Linked DNA regions of Schizosaccharomyces pombe. The gene in region 3 interacts genetically with the main gene of each other region. Each region holds a gene or a part of one and is shown on either strand. Other genes may lie near its edges.

Region 1 (5,228 bases), on a different chromosome or scaffold from region 3:
GGTGGTATTTGTAACGAGGCTATTTCGAGATTTGCTGGAAAGATTCCTATACTTGGTGTGTGTATGGGACTTCAGTGTATTTTTGAGACAATGGGTGGTAAAGTTGATTCCGCTGGTGAAATCATACATGGAAAAGTTTCTAAAATAAATCACGACGGTCTCGGATTTTACCAAGGAATACCTCAAAATATTTCTGTAACAAGATATCATTCTCTTGCTGGAAAAATTTCATCACTTCCTGATTGTTTGGACGTTACAAGCTGGACCGAGAATGGTGTAATAATGGGTGCACGCCATAAAAAGTATGCTATTGAGGGTGTTCAATACCATCCTGAAAGTATCCTTAGTGAGTATGGCAAAGAGTATATTCAGAATTTTTTGAATCTCACTGCTGGAACCTGGGAAGAAAATGGCATTGTTATGCCTACAAAAAATAACGCATTTAACGCGGCTATGCGTGAAAATTCGAATTCTGTTTCTTCAACTAAAATTCGCAAACAAGAATCTATCCTTGAGAAAATCCACGCGCAGAGACTTATTGACATTGCTGAAAGTAAAAGAAAGCCTGGTCTTTCTGTGGGTGATTTGCAAACATATTTGAACCTTAACATAGCACCTCCATGTATAAATTTTTATGAGAGATTAAAGCAATCTAAACCAGCTTTAATGGCTGAAGTCAAACGTGCTTCCCCTTCTAAAGGTGACATTAAGTTAGACGCAAATGCTGCTATCCAAGCTCTTACTTATGCTCAGGTTGGCGCCTCAGTCATATCTGTGTTAACAGAACCAAAATGGTTCAAAGGCTCATTGAATGATTTGTTTGTTGCGCGAAAAGCTGTTGAGCATGTAGCTAATCGGCCTGCAATTTTGAGAAAGGATTTCATTATTGACCCTTATCAAATTATGGAGGCTCGTTTGAATGGTGCTGATAGTGTATTGCTAATCGTTGCGATGTTAAGCCGTGAACAATTAGAGTCCCTCTATAAATTTTCTAAATCTTTGGGCATGGAACCGTTAGTAGAGGTTAACTGTGCTGAGGAAATGAAGACTGCTATAGAACTTGGTGCTAAAGTTATCGGCGTTAATAACAGGAATTTGCATAGTTTTGAAGTAGACCTTTCCACTACATCAAAATTAGCCGAAATGGTCCCAGATGATGTTATTCTTGCAGCTCTCAGTGGAATTAGTAGTCCTGCTGATGTTGCCCATTATAGTAGTCAAGGTGTATCAGCAGTTCTTGTTGGTGAATCTCTTATGAGAGCTTCGGATCCTGCCGCTTTTGCACGAGAGTTACTTAATCTTTCTTCTAGCGAGATATCTAATGGTAAAAAAACATCAACACCCCTAGTGAAGGTATGTGGTACTCGTTCATTGTTAGCTGCTAAAACCATTGTAGAATCAGGAGGCGATTTGATAGGGTTAATTTTTGTGGAAAAGAGCAAACGAAAAGTGGACTTGTCCGTGGCCAAGGAAATTTCACATTTTGTTCATACAACCAATAGAAAACACATTTCCCCAAAGAAAGCAGTGACTGGTCAAAGTTGGTTTGATCATCAGTATGAAAATCTTGCTTCCTCTCCGCACCCTTTGTTAGTCGGTGTGTTCCAAAATCAACCATTAGAATACATTCGTTCTATAATAGCAGAAGTGAACTTGGATATTGTCCAGCTTCATGGACAAGAACCTTTCGAATGGATACATATGCTCGATAGACCTGTTATTAAGGTGTTTCCGCTAAATTCTTCTGAAATTTCAAGGCCCAACTATCATATTGTACCTTTGATTGATGCATATGTCGGTGGAGAGTCAGGAGGTTTAGGCAAGAAAGTAGACTGGGAAGCTGCATCTTTCATTCCAGTATCTTATGTCTTAGCTGGTGGTCTAACACCTAAAAATGTACAAGATGCTATATCTGTTAGCCGCCCAGCTGTAGTCGATGTATCGAGTGGGGTGGAGACTGACGGGAAACAAGATCTTGAAAAGATCAAGGCATTTATAAACGCCGTAAAAGAACTTTAACTTGTCTACATTAAATCAAGTTTGTCTAGATGTTTTTGGATACATATCATGAGACTTCGCTTAAAATAACTGGTTTTAGATTTTGTTGGATAAGAAGTGTGCGATAATTATATTATCTGGTTATTGATCACTTTTCTGTATTAAATTAAGAAATATTTTATTGACAAAAATGGCTGTTATCCAAATGTATTTGGCCGAATGAAGCACATTATAAAGTGATAGTAGGAATAGGGAAACGATTGGCAATAGTAAAGTTATATGCTAAAGAAAGAAAATGAATAGTAAAGACTGTACAGATTTAATTAAGCAACGATAAAGGGATAGAACGGAAGCTGATCGATGTAATTATTTGCAATTCTTGGGATAACGAACGAAATAAACACCATGTATTAACAAATCAAAGAAGCAAATTATTTTAACTTTGCGTTTTGACTTAGCCAAGCCAGACCCTCCAACAGCCCGTCTCCTGTAAGAGCACATGTTGGCTGAACGTTCCATAAACGATCCTTCAATTTGTCTAGCTGCAAAACATCGGTAATTTGAGCAGGTGAAAGAGCTACCATAGTGTTAGCATAAGTTATTCGGATTCGCAACCTTACCTCCAGGCAAATCCTGTTTATTAGCCAACACCAAAAGAAGACAGTCCCGCATTTCACGATCTGAAATAATGCGATGCAATTCTTGACGAGCTTCTGATATACGATTGCTGTCGGCAGAGTCAACAACAAAAATTAATCCTTTGGTTCCAGTAAAATAATGCCGCCATAAAGGTCGTATTTTATCTTGACCTCCAACATCCTACAAACAAATCAACGTTAGAACATGCTCGACCCAAGATTGATTATAAATATACCCAAACGTTAAACTTGATGTTTTTGTAAGTGACTGTTTCGACGTTAAAACCCACAGTGGGAATGGTGACAACACTGGCTGTTAGTTAATGAACACAAGAAAAATCAATTTCATTTACGGAAGCATAATTGCAACTCAAGATAATGCGCGACAGTAGACTTCACTGATTAATTAACCAACAGTCTTCGTAATGAAATCTATATCTACTATGCTAATACAGAAGCAGCGCATACGATACCTTGACACAATCGAAGAATGCTGTTTAGTGCTCTTTACCTTTGATTGAGTTTTAATTTGTATAAGATAGCTAAAATGTTAATAAAAGAGTTACCATTATTAAAACACCAAGTTAAGCACGATTATACGGAATGAAGACTGTAAAAATCCATCCGAATAAAAAACATACTCGTTTTTCCAGCTGCATCCAGACCTAGCATTAAGATACGCATTTCCTTGTTAGAAAACAACCGACTAAATGGCTTTGAAAACCCCTTAAATAGTGAATTGCCCATGGTATCAAATAATCCCAGAAGAAGATAACCAAAAGAAAGAATAGACCAAAAAAACCAAAGAAGTAGAATTTATATTGAACCCAGATACAGGGCTTTCTTCGTACTTTAAAAGACGGCTAGCACTAAACGTAGGTGCAGCTGATATCAACTCTCTCTGTCTGAAATATTTAATTAAGCCGAGCTGATACATAATGTAAATTAACGAGCTGCGTAACTGAATTATATGGAAGCCCATGGTCTTGTACTATATCGTAAATCCCATGTACGAATAATAAATTAAATATTAAGAATATTATTTTTATCGATTAACTTTTGGAATTTCCATCAAGTTTATTGAATAGAAACATTCTCATTCCCTTGCCTAATAACGCAGATTTATATTACTCAACTTTAACAGTGTATGTTAATGATTTGAAGCCTCATTATTTAAAGTATTTTTCAAAAAAAAATAAAAATAAAAAACAATCATATAAAATAACATTTAGTAGAAGAAGGCTTCAAGTATTGAATTATAAACAAACTAATGTTTTCGTAACATATGTTTCTATGCTAGCACTGTATTTTAAATTGTACTTTTTAATATTGATTCTTTATTTTTGTATGTATATCTCTCTATCTAGCAAGTGACTATTGAGATACAAGATCGACGATGATCGACAATTTTCATCCGAGTCGCGACCTATCTAGTAGTAAGCATATGTAATAAGTAAGTAGACCTAAATGTTAAAACTGTAACAGTCTTTCTACCAAATACACATTCTGAGATAGTCTTTAATGAAACATGTCTTTCGAAGGTAAAACGATCACTTGCAAGGTATGAAAAAGAAAACGTAAATCATTGTCTAAAGTGTAAATGATATTGGTGCTGTAAGTCCACCAAAGGTTTACTTTTGATATTATTGTTCATCCATGAGTATATGGATAATTATCTTTTATTTTTTCTTTCTGTGTACTAATAACATTCGTTTTAGGCAGCCGTAGCTTGGGGTGCAAAGGAACCTTTATCTATAGAGGAGTAAGTATAATGATGACAAAAGGAAAAGAATTTATACTTGAATTTTATTACTAACTTTTGACTTCTCTTCTGCTCATCAACGGGCAGAATGGGAGGTGATACTACAGTATTCAGGTTGCCCCTCCAAAAGCTCATGAGGTTCGTGTGAAAGTCGATTGGAGTGCTGTTTGTCACACAGATGCTTACACGCTGTCTGGTGTAGATCCAGAAGGCGCATTCCCTATTGTTCTTGGTCATGAGGGTGCTGGTATTGTGGAAAGCATTGGCGAAGGGGTTATCAACGTGCGTCCTGGAGACCATGTTATTTTGCTATATACTCCGGAATGTAAAGAGTGTAAATTCTGTCGTAGTGGTAAAACTAATTTGTGCTCCAAAATTCGTGAAACACAAGGTCGAGGTTTAATGCCTGACGGTACTAGTCGCTTTTCCTGTCGCGATAAAACGTTGCTTCATTACATGGGATGTTCTAGCTTTAGTCAATACACAGTTGTAGCTGATATCTCGCTTGTGGCTATTTCACACTCCGCACCTCTTCGCAGTATTTGCTTGTTGGGCTGCGGTGTCACAACTGGATTTGGTGCTGTGACACACTCTGCTAAGGTTGAGTCTGGTTCAACGGTAGCTGTTGTTGGATGTGGATGCGTAGGTCTCGCTGCAATGCAGGGTGCGGTTGCAGCTGGTGCTTCGAGAATCATTGCTATTGATATCAATGCAGATAAGGAAGTATATGCCAAGAAATTTGGTGCTACTGACTTTATCGATTCTTCTAAAGTTAAAGACCTCGTACAGTATGTTATTGATGTGACTGATGGTGGTGTTGACTATGCATT
Region 2 (6,731 bases), on a different chromosome or scaffold from region 3:
GTACAATCCAATGGACCGATTCTCTTCCCGACCAGCCAAACCAGAAAAGGCAAATGGGAATAAAGAACGTTGCTGGAAATGAAATGACCAAAACTCCTTCCGGAGCAAAATCACCACCACTGGCCATGAATGCTGGGATCATCACTTTATACAGGAATACGAAATAGCAGGCTAAAGTAATCAAGGCACCCACGAGAATACCTAAGTAAACCAAGCCATTTTCAATAATGGTAAAATGGTAAACGCTAGTAAAAAGGATTGGGAAAGCTTCGAACCACAGATATAAAATTGAATAGATTAGCCCAATATATATATTTAAAGACAATACTATCGGCTCCGAAATACTTAGTATTATCGGACGAATTATGGTTTCCTTTGCAAGCTGAGCAACACTTAAATGGGAAGATGCCAATTCGGCCTCTGTTCTATAATTTTCGTTTCCAGTTATCTTACGGAACCTCTTTGCCCTCTTATATAATATATGCCATTCAGAAGTCTCTGGCATAAAAAAGAAGATAACAATCAATGCAAAGCCAGAAATCATCATCAAAAGCCAAAATTGCCATCTCCAAGATTCAGCAACGACCATCGCTCCACCAAGCAACGGTCCCAAAACTGGACCACCGATGGCTCCAATTGCCCAAAAACACATAAAGTAGGGAAGAAGCCATGGTTGCCAAATATCTGCCAAAGTAGCACCTCCAGTCGCTAGAGCTGGCGAGCCGAAGAAACCGGCCAAAAACCTCATTGGTAATAAGACGCCCAAGCTAGATCCCAGTGCGGTGGGAATCTGTAAACACACAAATACAAGGAGAGAAAGAACATAAATCTTTTGGCGACCAACTTGTGGAATCTCCGAGAGTGGAGACAAAATTAGGGGACCGATGGCATAGCCAAGTACAAAAAGAGTCAATCCCAAAACTACGGGAACAGTTCCTACGTGCATCGTTTCTTGCATTTCTGATATACCTGGAGTAAAAATTGCTGATCCCACATAAACCGCAAACGTTAAGAAGCAAATATCAAAAGTCACCACAAGCTTTGCCCACAAAGGCCAATTTAGGGGATTTTCGGGATCGTTGGCATCATCCCATCGCACAATAATGTGTCCCTCTGAATTAACTTCATGAATCTTCAGATCGCCGGATTCCGAGCTGCATGAGTCATTGGAATCTACTTTGCTAATGTCTTTCCATACTCTCAGTTTCTCTAAGTCGTTGTCATTGGAGTTGTGAGAAACGTATTCGACCAATTCGCCGAAAACGGTTTCCCTTAAAAATCCCATTTAAATGACCGTATGTAAAAACCAAAGTTAGTTCTATTTTTTGGTCTCGGTTAACTTTATTAAAAACTTGACAGATTATTTGCCCACACTTGCTGGTACAATTGTCTGGCTACATTCTTCTCCTAATATACCCTTCGTGCCTTACCTAATCAACGTGAATGTTTACTAAGTGTAAAGTAAGCATATATTGATTGATTAGTCAATTATGTGAGATTCCTTCTTTCAATTATCCATCGTATTCTAAGTCGTTTCAGTAAGCAGTATTAAAAGTGCAAAATCATCTTGTTGCTTATGTAAACAAAAAAAAAATTAAGATTGGAAGTTACAACAAACATTTCTAACGTACATCAGTCGATCGTCATCTCGCGTAAAAAATTCTGCCTTAATTTTTGTCAGCAAAAGAAAGCGAAATTAAAAAGTAAAAACAGAACTATATGACTAATCAAAACTAAGTATGAATTAATTCTTTTCAGAGTAATGCGAATACAACAGTTACTTAAAAAAATGATGTCGTTAAAAACAATTTTAACTTCAAACTATGATTAAGTAGGTAGACGATCGACGGAAGACAGAAAATAAGAGGGATTGCTATGCTTGCCGTTTTCCTTTGAAGACGATGTTTCAAGAAAATTAAAATTTAATATTTTACTTTTAAAGAAAAGCTTATATAAAAAATGACTATTAAACATCTGCAGTCATACGCACTTAATATTTGTCCAAATGAATATGCCGAAATTGTCTTGCTTTTAACTACTTCGCTTAAATTCCCAACTTTATCCCAAAAAGTAAAATCATATAGTTATTTCACAACATTAAGTTTACTTGAAAATGTCTAATCATTAATCATAAATAGTTTTAATAGAGAAAATGTGAGCTTCAAAAAAAACTTCCTCAGTTACATAATACTACAAGCATCGGTATCGAGCACTTCGTGTCCAAACCCATCATCCAAATGTGCACGATATGCAAGATGTGACAACATACGACTAGAAGAACGGTTAGTATTTACATGAGCAAATTAGAAGTATTCAACAAACCTCGTTATGTAGGAATCTCGCGACCCCTGCTGCCTATTCATTTCATTGGTAGCAATTATTTTGTAACTATTGGAAGTATGGTTCCTTGAACAACCTGATGGTGGAGTGTTCTCAGTATTGAATATCTTCACGGTGGAATCAATACCGGACACAGCAAGCGTGGGACAACGGGGATGCCCTTCTATAACGTTAACAGCTTCACTATCGCCATGGATAATTGCAAGAATGGAAGCATTTAACTTATCCCAAATAAAAAACCTGCCATCGTCAGAACCACTCATGACATATTCATCATTTTGACCATAGAAATTAACATTTTTAATAGACTCTACGTTGCAGTGACCATAATAACTTTTAACATGTGTGTTCACCGGCACATTTGGTTCCACTGCTTTCCGCTTCTTCATTCTTAAAGACAACAAAGTCGGACCTTCATCCGAATCCTCATCACTTTCATCATCATCATCACTAGCATAGGAGTAACTTTCCTCATCCTGGTAATCATCATCGTCATCATTGAGATCAGAATGCCCAGTATACATACTGACAATATTTTCTCCCGAACTACTTTCAACTTCATTTTCATAGTTCACTGGCGGTTCCAACAATGTCAAGAACCCGTTTTCATCATCAAGTCTTTGGCTGGAAGTAACGTCAGAAGTACTGCTGTCCCAAGGCTGAAATTGCTCCCAGTAGATATCGGAGGATATAAGAAGAAGACAACCGCGTAAAACTTTATGTATCCAAAAAAACCGCCTTACAGAAGATAAATCATTAGTATCTATCCTAGCAAATGCCCTAATCATTTCAGAGGGATTTGAGAATAAAACCCGAGATGGTTCATCAGGATCACACAAAACAAAGTTTTGGCGAGCAACGTTCGTAGGCGGAGACATTTGTAGTGCCCAATGGTCCGATATTCCTAACAAATATCGTGTAACCCAATTCATAAAATCATACAACCATCCCCAGCCAGCTTGTATAATGGTGTTCGGTTCCAAACTCACAGTATCATCCATAAGCGCTAAAATAGAAACACACGCTCTCCAATAACGTAAAGCACTAACGCGGATACTATGATTCAAACCGTTTGAATCGGGAATATAATTATAATTTTCCAAGAAATAAATAGCGTCTTTAACGTACTGAATAGAGCGAGAAAAATGAGATAAACGACCGCTAACAATGCTCTCATACAGTCCTCCATTTTCGGTAGTAAAAAACTTTTCGATATTCTCATACATCTGATAAAATGTATGCTTTCGAGGTTGGGCTGCTGTATACGGATTTCTTGACACTCTACTAGCTGGAGTAGAAGCACCAAAGTTATTCTTATACCATGGCGAGTAATTTTTCCTTTTCAGCGGCTGTGTTTGAAGTAACGAAGGCTTAGACGGCTTTTTATTTGAATCCTCTATTTTATTAAAAGTTGGTGTATAAGATTTATCTTCATGAACATGGAATAAATATACATAATCAGAGTTCCAACTGACAAGCAACTATAACAAACATTAGAGATCACCCATGCAATAAGACTTACCTCATTAGGATTAGCAGCACTAAACTGACAACAAGTGATATAACGATCCAAGATACCTTGGGAATTACATGAGCCATCTGGACTAAATTTACGAACACAACGGCAGTCTTTTTCGGGAGAAGTGTTCATAGTCCAATCATCCCGGAAAGATTTTTTAACCATCCGGCGATCATATAGAAACGCGTACGGATGAGTACCACCAATTGCAAAATAATAAGGGTTTGAAGGGGACATGGTTATAGTGTATAAATTGATGCGATATGGGTTATAATTTACCAGTATAGAAGGACAATCCAAATCTTGATTGCAGACATGTGGCTCACGAATATCGTATTGACGAGCCGTCCCATCTTCACTGCAAACTAGAAAAGTATGACCATTGTCACAAGGGACGATGTTTTTAACAGAATCAAGAGCACAACTCCAACATCTAGTTTGAGTCTCCATGCCGTGATCCATTCCTCCTTCTTTACTTGAATCTAAATCAAACAACTTAATAAGCTTATCACCACTAGCAGACAATATTTGCCGGTTATTAGAATATGGGACAAATTTCGCACTGAAGATATTTTGAACATGGCCAGTAGATATTAAATGCCGTGGCTTGTATTCATTGAAAACATCCCAGACAATTAGTCTTGTATCATCACTTCCTGATAACAAGAATTCACCGTCCGCGGACCAGCTGAAAATTGTAAGCATTGTAGAACAAATTGTTATAAAACACTTACTCTAGTGTATTAACACATCCCGTATGACCAGTTAATTCTTTCTGCAAATCTATACCGGTCAACCAAGTCGAATTGCCGTAGATATCTCGACTGACTAATAAACTAGTTAGCATCATTCAAAAACAAAACAAGAGCATACTTTTTCGCTGAAACCAATCTCTATAATCCAATTGACGCAAGGATAGTGATATCCCAGACATGAGAGTCAATTCAGCGATTAACAAGCGTTGGTGGAAGACAAGCTCAATTCAAGTGGATGTCGGTAATGTAGCCACGATGAGTTAATACCATAAATCGTAACTGCAAACTCGAATCTTAGAGTATAAGCCTTAAACTCAAACTCCTATGTTTTTTTTAAAATTTAAAAAAAAAACTTGAAGCGCCTCTGTAATTTACTGAAGTAGAAACACTTCAACATGTGAGTTTATTTCGATGATCGAAAGGAGGATCTAATTGCACAAATAATCATTTTATTTTACACTAATATAATATTTACAAAATATCAAAAAACATTTTCATATACAATTGTCAGTTGTTCGAAAAAGGGGTCACTTCGTCGGCTATTATCCATTTCAGACCAGGAGAACGAAATTGACTGTTGTCCTTGCAGAAAGGAATTTATACCTTGTTGAAAATTTATCCCGTTTGTGTATTCCACAAGCATAGGTTGAAAGTGAGTATGAAACCAACATTGCACACTCGAAGGAAAGTAAAACTGGCCCTTGCGTTCGACTCTGAGCAAAAGGTCTTTCTCCGATGTTTCTAGGTTGCATTGTATCCCCCATATACGTTTTCCTTCTTTTATGCTTACATTATGGGATGATATATCTGAACTCTTCCACAGAGCAACTGGATTTATGTTTCGTCCCTTAGAGAAGGCATGCAATGATAGAATCAAAGATGAATTTTTTTTAATATTCAAACATTTAAAACTTTTAAAAAAAGTGGTACCAGTATTAAATTCCACAGCTTTCAAATAATTCGGGAACTGTTTTAAAATTTCGATATAATAGACGTAACGTATTTGCGATGAAATGGTAAGACCGTGCCCTCGAACCATTCTTTTTTCAGTATATAGTTCAAGACTTTGCTTGGCTGTCAAGCCTCCGAAAGCTACCAAGTAGCTACATATTACAGTTCCTGTACGTCCTTTTCCGGCCTTACAATGAACTACCAATGTCAACAAAGGTTGCGTTTGAAAGAGTGCATCCATATTCATAACAATAGCCCATAAAAAGAGAAGCGGAGGTGGATTATGATCTTGAAATCCATAATTTATGACATTTGGTTTAAATAATTCCAAATGGTAAACTGTTTCTTCGGCACATAAATTCAACAATATCCAGTTGTCTTTCAATTGCGTTGTAAGATATTTAAATACATCCAATTCGTCGTTTCGATATAACTTATGTATTCCAGCAGCCGGTGTAGACATAGCAATTACCTTGGAAGTAATATAAACCATATCTAAGTAAGCAAAGCTACGATTCACTTTTTCTTGTTTGAGGCCTTTTCGACCCCTCGAAACTACTGATCGAAGTATATTCATGGAAAATTACATGTTTAATTAGTTATTTGTAATATACTAGGATAATACTGCAGATGCCGTTGACTGTTGAAATATGAGGTAAGCTGCACTGTTCAGAAGAAAATAAGAGAAATACAATAAAGATTTTAGTAATGAACTTTAAGCGGGTAGGTATCAACCATAGTGACGTGAATAAATAACTAATTTACTTTTAATTATTTATATATTTTGATAGCAATGATTTGATAATCCATTTTATTGAAAAAAACATAAGGGCATAACTTTTCCCTTTAAACGATGCAAAAGTATTACTAGTAAAAAAAAATAATAAAGAAATAAAAAAAAAAAAATGAGAAAAATGAATAAAAAAAGCCAATAAGAAATACAATCGTAAGACATGAACCGTAAATAAGCATTAAAATATTTTGATAAAAATCCTTAAAAACATTTAAGTCCACCAAAAAACAAACAAACCCATGCGATTATTCGAATCCTCTAAAATAAATCCAAAACGTTTAGGTAAAAAGAAATAAGTGGTAGAAGTATATAACGTTAGACATATGCAATTAATCATACATTAAAAATAAATCGTGAGGCATACACATTAGCG
Region 3 (10,837 bases):
TCAAACTCAGGTCGCAAAATTAAGCAAGACTCACCACAGAACTTGTCAGATCTATTTAGGTAAAGACGACGGATGTCTCCTGTACGTATAGATTGTTCTAACTCTTCAGCAACACTGGTATAGTTTGATTGAAATAAGCCTATCAACTGTGTTTCCACAATCATTCGCGGACACTGTGCAACTAAAACATTCGTTTGCTGGCGCATTTGAATGTCACGAAACATTTCCTCAACTAAAACTTCTATAGAGTTTCGTATCGTTTTGTTTCTTAATACAATCAATGGAGGAACATTGTACGAAATGATGTTTAATGGTGATTGACCAGTACACATAGATGCTTTAGAGTGGTTTTTTTCAATTGCTAAAGAAGTCTTTCTCCTTTTGCTAAACAGTCTGTCTATTTTAGTCTGTCCATTCTTCTTTTTATTTATTTTTAATAAAGCAGGCATTGCCAAGGTAGGTAAGGGAAGTAACTTACTTTACAGAAATTTCGTTAGTCGAGTTTTCATCACCTTCAACATTTAACGCAGTGATTTTTTAATTGCCAGCTACGCAGTTTAATAACTATTTTAACGATACGAAAAACTGCAGTGAGTTTTCCTTGCGACTTATACAGTAGTACAGGAAAATAAGTAGCAACTCGTTAAAGATATTCTAAATTTGGGGTTACAATGTAACCTATTAGTAAAATAGTTTATAGTTGGGCTAAGGAACGAGGTTTAGTGGTGGCTTCATTATAATCTTTTTAATGGTTCATAACAGTGGGAGTCTATTTAAATTAATAAAAGGGTGGTTATCGGCAATTATCAATACACGGATTGAACTAAAATCCTAACATATGGCATACAGTGAGTGTTGCACAACTGTAGTGTCAGCAATACTACACTACGCTATGATACATTACGTTGCGTATCACTATATGTCATATGTTGGAATACTAGCTAAGATCCGTTTATTGATAATCACGGGTAACTATCCGTCTATATACATAGATACCCGTTGATAACAACTATTTAGAAATATTATAAATAGCGTTACAACTGAACCTCGTTCCTCAGTTCAGTTATGAGCTATATTAGTGATAGGTAACATTATAACCCAGTTAATACAATACCTATACTCAGTTGCTACTTATACAACCTGTGTATTGTAATATAATAGACCACAAGGAAAACTCACCGCAGTTCTACGTATCCTTAAATCAGATACCAAACTGCGTAGCTTACATGTAGCTAGTGTAGTATTGCTGACATGTAAAATAGTAATACTATATAACGTAGTATAAGTATTGATGCATTATCTAATCGGTTGTAGGCAAAGCCAGTAATTGAACTAAATATACTTTGTACGACGAAAGGTATTGATACCAACCAAGAACTTGTTTTTTCTTTCTGGACTGGCTTATAGCATTCCCCTTGGAATTAGAATAAAAATCCTGTCTACACAGTGAACAAATATATGTAGTGATGCATAGTGAAGTGTAGCATAATTTACGCTTATGGTAAGGGAAAAAATTTGCTCCAGCAGTGACTTGAACACTGGGCCTCTTGCTTACTAGGCAAGCGCTCTACCACTGAGCTACAAGAGCTAATTACGAATTACCTAAAGTTTGCATTTAACAATGAGAATGTATCCTCGAATTGATTATTTGACTGCTTCCTATACTTTAATTTGGTTTGTATTTCAAAACTGATTGATTAGCACACAATACAATTTTTTTTTTAACTTGCCAATAAAATACACATTACATTAAACAAGGGGAATATGTGATATTTAATATTATTATACTGGTTCTGGGCGCTGGAAATATAAATGCATTAAAAAGTTAATAAAATAAAATATGAGATGCTTAGATAATTATTATTTTGGAAAATATTCAAAATAAGAAGTTGTCAATTTAAATAAATATAGGCACTAAATAAGCTTTTGATCAAAACAAAGAAAAAATATAAAGTAAAAATAAAAGCATTAAAACAGTGAGATCCTTTCTAAAAATACAAGCAAAAGTGAGTGAAGATTAAATATCAAATCATTTGTGTAACTTTGATTGGTTCGTATAATTAAGTATGCCAGATATGATTAAGGACAAGTGTTGCAAAGTAATAGGTTTGGCAAGGTAAGAATCAAAACCACTATCTTTGCAGCTTAAAACAACATGAGGTAAAGCATTCGCACTAAGTGCAACTATAGGAACTTTAGGGTAATCGTTTTCCAATTCGTATTTACGAATTTCATTACATGCCTGGTAACCATCCATAACAGGCATTTGTAAATCCATTAGAATAAGAGAGTAAAAATTAGGCTTTTCACGTTTCCATTCTTCAACACATTGCAAACCGTCCATGGTGACCTTGAATTTGACACCAATTCTTTCAAGGTAACGGCTTATAACCTTAATATTGATAATGTTGTCTTCCGCCAACAACACGCTAAAGCCAGACTTTGCCAGATTATATCGGAGTGTTTCAGCATCAGCCTTCTGCTCCATTGCAGCCTTTCGAGTCATATCATTAAGTGCACCGATTTTCCCCTTTTCCTCAGAATCAGAATAAAATAATGGAAAAAACTTGGATGGTTTCACAAGTTTTAAAACGTAATGGATGCTTTCCGAATTACAATCCTCGCTATCTGAAAAAATCTTAGATAATGATTCTTTTTGTCGAGTGGAAGTCACCAAAATAAATTTTGTATCCTTGTATAGACTACAAAGTTGCAGTGATTTGACAAATAAAACATATGCTTCTATGTCCGGAAGATTTAATATAATATGGGTGACCTTGGATTGCATAGGATTCTCTAGCAATTCTTCAAAGGCTTCATAGGTATTTCCATACCTTACGATATCTTTAAATGAGCTTATATCGATAATTGATTGAAGCATGTTGCCAATCGCTTCACTACTGTATTTAGTGTGTGATACAACAACGGCTAAAGCACTTTTATCCAACTTGATCCCAGAAGGTTTGTTTCTATAGAGTCTCCAAAATAGAACTGTGTATGGATCAGCAGATGCGCCGCATCGACAAAATTCCGATTCAGAAGCGAAAGGATTCACATATTTGTTGGATTGAACATTTTTGTCCGATTCAAGTTTACGTCGGTTGCTTTCTCTTCCGGGATCTGCTTTATTTACGGCCAATTTTACAAAATTCGTCGCGCTTTTATCGTTTCCATCGTCTGCGCAATAATAGTCTTCTGTGCTTTGTTTGCTTTTTTCGTATGGACAAAAACAGACTGGACAACAACCATCTGGGGGTTCAAATTTTAGAGGAGTTTTATCCATTGTAAACGTTGCAGTCCACATAAAGCGCGTTCCCACGCCTCTTCTACTTTGACAGGACATACTACCATTATGTAGCTCAACAAGCTCTTTTGAAATAACTAATCCAAGACCTGAGCCACCATGTCTTGGTAATGTAGAACTCTCTACTTGAGAAAACGGTTTAAACATTTGTAATTGATCATCTCTGTTAAACCCTTGACCGGTATCAATGCATTCCCACTTTAAAACAACAGTATTGGTTGAGTAATCAATCTTTTCAACGGAACAACGAGTAAAAACTTCACCAACATTCGTAAATTTAATAGCATTTCCGATCACATTCAAAGCAACTTGCCTCATTCTCATATTATCCCCAAATACTATATCAGGAACATCAATGTCAACCGTGTAGTTCAATTCTATTCCCTTTGAAAAAGCGAGGGTACCTAGAGTTTCGTTTGCATCTTCCATCATAGCTCGTACAGAAAAGCGTTGGCTAGTTAGCTTCATCATTCCAGCTCTGACTTTACTAAGGTCCAAAATATCATTGATAACAGTCAAAAGAGACTTAGCTGATTGCTGAATAATACGTGCATAACTCAGCTGTTCGGCAGACATTTGAGTTTCCAACAAGAAGCTTACCATGCCTGTAATACCGATAAGAGGGGTTCGAATTTCATGAGACATATTGGAAAGATACTGCATTTTGCTCCGAACAATTCTTTGAGCTTCAATGTTAGATTCTTGGAGCTTTTCTTCCAACATTTTATGATCGTGAATATCAGTACAAGTTCCTAACCAGAGATTAGTAGACGTATCAGCAGAATTATTTACGCAAACAGATTTCACCAAATGCCATCTATAATGACCATCGGTAGATCTAAAACGTATCTCCGCCGCAAACGTTTTGGTACCATTACTTTCGTCTTGGTTATTAAACGTTCCCTCCAAAGATTCAGGCAATAAACATTTCTTGCGATCAGCGTGATATACAGCAGATAAAAACCCAAGTCCCAATGAAGATTCCAGTGAAAGACCTGAATAACTTAACCACTGCGCATTTGCATAAATAATTCCATTTTTACCATTTGCGGCAAAAACAATTTGAGGAGAAGCTTCAGCTAAAGACCTGTAGCTGTTTTCATTTGCGGCTATAGCTGATTGTTTTTGTAGTTCTCGTTCTGCCAACTTTTGATCATGGACATCCGTCATTGTTCCAAAAAAATGTAGCACAGATCCAGTGCAATCCCGTAAAGGAACCGCGCGACAGATAAAGTATCGATAAACATTATCAAACCTTTGCAAACGAATTTCATGATAAAAACCACTACCAGAGAATAATGAAGATTTCCAGTCATTTAAAAAGTTTGGCAGATCATCAGGATGAATTCGACTAAATTGTAGCTCTATTTGCTCATTCATATTTAAACCACAGTAAAGAAGAGTTTTTCTATTAACCCATGTGAGTTTTCCACTTCCCGGATCCGCAGTAAACACATGAACCGGTATAGAATCAATTATAACCTTTAGTAAGGGAAAAGGAGGCGCTTGACCACCACAATGCCCTTGCACATACTTGTGAGATTCAGAAGTGCAACAGGCATATGATTTTGATTTATCTAAAACAATTTCATCCTTCTTTAGAGTAATAGTTTCATTTGAATAATTTTCACCATCATTTAGCGAGAATCTCAAATTCTCGTTCACTTTAGAATTCTTTTTGCTAATTCGAGACTTCAATCTAGCTAGCAAACGATGCTTCTTTAAAGTAACCCATGATCGCTGGTTTTTTTTAAAAAATTCAGAAGGAACTGGTACAAACCTAGGCAATTTAGGTATGTTATTAAGAGAAGATCCTTTAGCATTGATATTGCAAAAGCTGCCTACGCACTCTCCTTCTTTATGAGGACAATCAGAGTTTTCGGAGCTCGCGCTCATACTCAACTCCTTGGTATTGTCAGTGCTAGACGTGTTAAATAATAGATGCCTTTGTGTAGGACAAGGAAGTAACGGAACAGATTGAGAATTTGAGTATGAAGAAAAAATAAAGGGTATCAAACGTTCTATGGAGGCTATTAAATTTTCCGGATAAGGAACTAAATTGGACTTGAAAGAAAGAATTGCAATTGGAGCTCTCCCACGGCTTGAAGTTTGATCCGAACAAGGAAACATCAGAGGAACATGTACAATACTGACAGCAGTTTCAGTAGGAAAACTGGTGAAGTCGTTCAAATGATCTTCTTGACGCCTGTTACCAGAAAAATTCATACCTTTACAATCATCATTAACAGCTGTTTCTGATACGGACTCTGAAGCAGACTTCTCTGTTGACGATTCAGTAGCGAAAGAAGATTCTTGCAAGCAATTTTGGAAGAATGGATTCCTATTAGGATCTGTTTGAATGGAGGGACTAGCAACTGGAGATCTTGACCAAGGAGAAAGTAAATTTTGTTCATACTCATCATAAATGTTTGAAGGTTCTTCCGAAAAAGACGAACTTTGTGCTTTTGAAATGTCACTTTGGGAATACGGTTTACGATTCTGACTGAAATGTGAAACAAATGCTCTCTTTTTCTGTGGATAAAGTCCATTTAACTGAGCTGCAGAAGCACTAATTTCAACCTGCTTTTTCAATTCATTAAGTTTTTCATCATGAAAAACTTTCCATGAATTCTTAATGCTGCGAATATCATCAACATTAGGTATAGAACTAAAGTAATCATTATCATGAACCTTGGTGTTTTTAACAATGTGCTGTTGTTTACGTGTATATACAAGCAATGTCGCACGCTCCAAGACTGTTTGTACAACTTTGCTATCAATAAGCAAATCCCCTTCATGTTTAAGAGAAGCTGGATCTTTGTATATAATACCCTTTGAACCATCCGAAGCAACTACGGTAACATAAGAACTGCTAGCAAGGTTGTCATTAACACTTATAGGGTTACTATACGGATCATAATGGGAACCGCCATCGTAATAACATCTGAGTTGCCAAGGAGTATTGTATATGTCAGAAAGGTCACGCGGTTCTACAACAGATATTTGAGTGGAAAAAAACTGCTGAGCGAAAAAGTCAATAATGTTTTTCCAGAAATTCATCAAACCGGTTTTAAAGACCAATAAGCAAGCCATTTCATACACATTTCCAATGGTACGGTTACGCTTCTCCTGTAACTGCTTAAATAAGTTAGCGGATGAATCTGTTTCAAATGGTTGCTCATCAGTTAGTGAGTGCGAAGCAGAAGTATTATCGTTGTTCAAAGCATTTCCACAAGAAGAAACGGATGGAGCAGGTGAATGGCATAATGAATTTAGTGATTCCCTAGATTTTTGAGGAGAATAGCAATCTGAACTCATTGAGGAGGTTTTAAATAACTCATTGGGACGTTTGGATGTCATCAATCGATTTGGATTTACTCGGGGAAAATTAATAAGTCGCTCATCCTCTAGTGAAGGAGAAGATACATTATTGAAAGAAAATGAATTTCGATGCTGCCTATTTAAACTGGTGGGAGATTCAAGTATCGGAGAATGAACAGAGCCAACAGAAGAGTTTTGAGAATTAGTAAACGATCCTACAATTTTTGATGATTTTTGCAGCTGGTGGTCCATGGCCTTATTCAAACGTTAGTAATTTAAATTAATTAAGTAACAAGAGATATCACATTTTATTTCATATTTAAAAAAGGAGAATCCAAGTATTGAAATCACTTACCTCTTTCAACTTTTCCAAGTGAGAATTAGAACCAACGTTATTGTTGATTTGATCGTCAGGTGGCCTCATTTTTTTAGACTAAATTTACAGGCCAGTATAGATACTAAATAAAACAAAGTTTCCAACTGTAATTACCAAAAAGAAAGTGCTATCTTATAAAGATCGTTTCAAATAAAAAACTGATGTATTTGAGTTATTTGACCACGGCAACCAGCAATGGAAATTATAAGCGTACCATTTAAAACGCTTTTTTCCTAGCGACTTTACAGCACTGAAGATTGGTAAAAAGTGTTCGAAATAGGGAAATGAAACAACTCAACAAGTTGTGTTAGCAAAATGTAAATGGATATTGAAGATCGCGTAAATGTTGTTTAGCGAAGATTGGTGGCTAGTAAATATGATCGTTCTGTTAGAAACAAGTCACTACACTATACTGTGCTGCGTTAGTTCAACTTTTCATAATATTCATGATTCTCCGTATTTCCATCCTTAGTGTAAATCTTCTATACTAGTAGTTTTATAACAATGCATTATGTTGATACATTCAAACCTTCTTTCCTGACTTCAGTTATAAGCCATATATGTGTGGTTATGTTAGTGTATTCAATATCATAATTATATTGATACAACATTTTACCATCTACGATAAACATCCTACATAAGATTATATACATCGCAAGTAACACTTAAACTACAGTTCGTTGTAGCTTAAAAAAGGTAATGATTGCTTAGCCAATAGTCAATCCTTGCTAAAGAATAGTAGTCTCAGATTACTAAATTCGCTGATTATATTATAACGGTAAATTTTTATTGAATTGTTATTACATCATCATTTGAGATGTTACACATTTGCTGAATAAGCATATAAACAATGCATTGCTGCGTAGCTGTTTTCTTTTATATTATAATGCTGCAGCAATATAAAAGAAGCTGCATAAATAATTAGTCAGAAAATTAGTTTATTCAGAAAGCAGCTAGACGAGATGCAATATTTCATGATTAAATGTGAGCTCAACAACTCTAAAGAAATTAATTAAACATATATAATCCTTCGCAAAGCAGAGTAAAAAAGTGTAGCTTTTAAGTGCCCCCTTGAATTTTCTTAATTACTGTTCCATTTTGAGGTCGCTCTTTGGAAATTAAAGCTTTAATCAATTTTCGTTGAACATTTACTAGAGCAGCCAGTGAGGAATCCAAAGTACTCAGTTTTTGTAAAAAATTGTTTCTCTCGTTATTTATCGAAAAATTTTTATCTTTCTGTTCTATTGTAAAACCCGGTTTGTCATTTAATGAGTTGTTTGCAGTAAGATTTGAATTTACTCTGTGGTTTTTAACAAGCTCAACATACCGCTCCTGAGCATCGCCCAATGCAGTCATAAGGTCTGACAATTGCTGTTTAGTGGATGATAAAACACCATCTCGTTGTTTAAGTTCAAGTTGTGCTTCAGCATACAAACGATTGATAGAATCAGAATCAAAGTTATGTCTGTGTATCGAAGCAACTGTGCTTTCGTCTCTGTCATTATTACTTTCCTGAATTGTTCTATTTCCTTGAATGATTTCTGCTTCCTTTAAGTTGGATTTTTCGGCGAGATTTGACAGTGTGAGGGAATGCTCGCCTGACCATACGTTAGAATGACAATTATTATAGTCTAAGTTATTGTTAATTCTGGCTCCACAAACGCAACGAGACAAAGCATCTTTATAAATATACAGCTGTCTTTTCATTTCATCAACAGAAAGTTCTGAGTTTACTACCGCTTTGTTTTTGATGCTCTTTGCACGATGTCCAAACCTAAGAGTAGATAAGGTCTCTGTTGCATTGTATGAATCTGGTGAACAGTTAATAATTAGAGTGGTCCGAGAATTTCCACCAAGAGACTCTTTTAAAATACGCGTTAACTTGGAATCTCTATAAGGAACATGTGATAATTTGCTGTCTGTGAGAGAATTAATAACCATTCCAAGAGTTGAAAGAGAACGGTTTATTTTCTTTGCTTCTTCTAAGGTTTGCCCGACTGCTCCACTTTTTCCTACGCTTTCGGAACCTGCCAAGTCAACTAAAAACAACCGGCCTCGTCGAGTTTCGCCGGACTCAGTGTCCGTTTGGACAACTTCGAGTACAAAAATAGAATGAGACCGTGAACTTTGCGCATTCATCGACGTACTTGCAACGGCACGTGACCCCATACCTTTATTTAAAATATCCAATGCCTCCGTTTCACTTGATACGTAAATCGTTTTTAAACCTTGAACATAAACTCCCTGAAGTTTATCTTCATGAACCGTCAGTCTGTCATTTTTTTCTGTAAATCATGGTTAATTTTGCTGAAATTAAATACGAACGTCGCAAAATTTCTACGGCATTTGAAGGCTTACCGGAAAGTAGATCATGAATTTTTTCCATGTAGATTTCCATGTATGATACCTTCACTTCGTATTCAGTAGTAGATGGTGAATCGCGGATTTTGTCAAAAATACGCCTGAGCATTCTTGGAGTCATTCCTTCTTTTTCGAAATTATTTTCAATACCCTAAAGATTGTTAGAAAAGTGTGCCAGGTGAAATTGTGAATATACCATCATGGTGTATGTTTTGCCGGATCCTGTCTGTCCATAGGCTAGTACTGTTCCGTTATAACCCAAGAATAAGTCTATAATATATTAGTACATATTTAATGAAATTCAGAACAACTTGAATGTGATTCGAACAATGTATTAAAATGGCAATTCGTTTCAAATGAAGCGTCAAAACGAGCGCATATAAAAAAAGGCTATGCTATAATTTCATACAAGCTGTTGCTGACAACGATGAAATTAATCCGTTCAACGCCGTGTAAAGTTTTACTATCATTCACATACCATCGACTGTCGATTCAATTGAATACGAAAATATATCATTCTGAGTGCTAGAAGGATGAAAAACACGATCGAATACAAAGTTTCCTGAGTAATCACTAGTCTTTTAATCATGTCAGCCGAATTCTAAAGTAAAGATCAATTGTTGAAACCTACCTCGATATGAACAGTAGAATCGTTTAATGGGTATATCACATTATTTCCTCCAAGGTCTTGTTCCAACTGGTTCGTGGGCCGAATTCGGCACACTACTTTAATTGAAGTCATTGAGTAAAACTGCTTTATAAAAAGATAAAAAATCAAATAATGTATGATTAAAACGCAGTATATAAATTAGATCCATACATCCAAAAAAATCATTAAAGACAATATGTGAGCGGGCTAATTTCATATACAGGGAAAGACGAGGTTAACCTAACATGGTGCCTCTACAATAATTGTTGTTTAAGGCAACGTATCAAAAACAGAATAATATCATGTAATTAACTACATAATTGTTTAATGTTAAAGCTCGAAGTGTGAATTAAAAAAAATAAATTTACAAATCAACAGGCTAAAATTGTTTACTTCCTTCTACATATTCTTTTTTTCCTGATATTATTTGAAGATTTACACATGTATAAAATTCTTAAGATTGTTCAATCTTGATTCATATTTTAAGCAGAGTATTTTACCCTTCGTCTGATTAATATCTGTGACGAAAATTGGATTGCAATTTCTCACATATTTATTTATGAAAATTTGATTAAATGGTAAGAACGAGAAACCTCGCAGGTATTTATTTATTTTTTTTTTTAAATTAAATAATTTTTTTAAATTGTGAAGTTTATATGGAGATTTGGATGTATTTGCAATTTACAAGTTTATCCCAGATACTATTTCAAACATTAGCATTAAAAAACGTTTGTTTTACTACTTTGTATTTCTACTAGCTATACCAACCTACCAATTCATTTACCGAAGAGAAAAAGGTATGGAAAATGCATAATTCATAAATAGA

The links.
Region 1: mutations in mak1 (region 3) and arf6 together harm fitness more than expected from each alone (negative genetic interaction), as found in Schizosaccharomyces pombe (one large-scale study listed by BioGRID).
Region 2: mutations in mak1 (region 3) and iqw1 together harm fitness less than expected from each alone (positive genetic interaction), as found in Schizosaccharomyces pombe (one large-scale study listed by BioGRID).

The regions. Positions count from the first base shown.
Region 1 is NC_003423.3:4,374,012-4,379,239, reverse strand, and holds arf6 (ADP-ribosylation factor-like protein Arf6), read right to left. Parts: upstream 3,512-5,228; 5' UTR 3,384-3,511; coding exon 3,278-3,383; exon of another isoform or gene 3,179-3,277; coding exon 3,148-3,178; exon of another isoform or gene 2,946-3,147; coding exon 2,873-2,945; exon of another isoform or gene 2,818-2,872; coding exon 2,619-2,817; exon of another isoform or gene 2,576-2,618; coding exon 2,430-2,575; 3' UTR 2,063-2,429; downstream 1-2,062. Other genes in the region: trp1 (anthranilate synthase component II), read left to right, coding at 1-2,019; fmd1 (glutathione-dependent formaldehyde dehydrogenase), read left to right, coding at 4,165-4,197, 4,355-4,398, 4,506-5,228. UniProt on the Schizosaccharomyces pombe protein: GTP-binding protein that functions as a molecular switch for the activation of 'new end take off' (NETO), a process in which the directions of cell growth change from a monopolar manner to a bipolar manner in fission yeast.
Region 2 is NC_003423.3:3,161,234-3,167,964, reverse strand, and holds iqw1 (WD repeat-containing protein), read right to left. Parts: upstream 4,826-6,731; 5' UTR 4,794-4,825; coding exon 4,733-4,793; intron 4,688-4,732; coding exon 4,594-4,687; intron 4,548-4,593; coding exon 3,863-4,547; intron 3,822-3,862; coding exon 2,323-3,821; intron 2,272-2,322; coding exon 2,181-2,271; 3' UTR 2,063-2,180; downstream 1-2,062. Other genes in the region: plasma membrane spermine family transmembrane transporter Caf5, read right to left, coding at 1-1,285; phosphatidylinositol-3,4,5-trisphosphate3-phosphatase Ptn1, read right to left, coding at 5,096-6,142. UniProt on the Schizosaccharomyces pombe protein: Ligand-dependent coactivator of nuclear receptors that may function as a substrate receptor for CUL4-DDB1 E3 ubiquitin-protein ligase complex.
Region 3 is NC_003424.3:4,706,182-4,717,018, reverse strand, and holds mak1 (phosphorelay sensor kinase Mak1), read right to left. Parts: upstream 7,311-10,837; 5' UTR 7,050-7,310; coding exon 6,981-7,049; exon of another isoform or gene 6,881-6,980; coding exon 2,030-6,880; 3' UTR 1,758-2,029; downstream 1-1,757. Other genes in the region: mug51 (variant protein kinase 19 family protein), read right to left, coding at 1-449; kinesin-like protein Klp3, read right to left, coding at 8,061-9,286, 9,360-9,513, 9,559-9,632, 9,841-9,940, 9,994-10,104. UniProt on the Schizosaccharomyces pombe protein: Involved in the control of the SAPK-dependent transcriptional response to peroxide stress. Also has a role in G2/M regulation.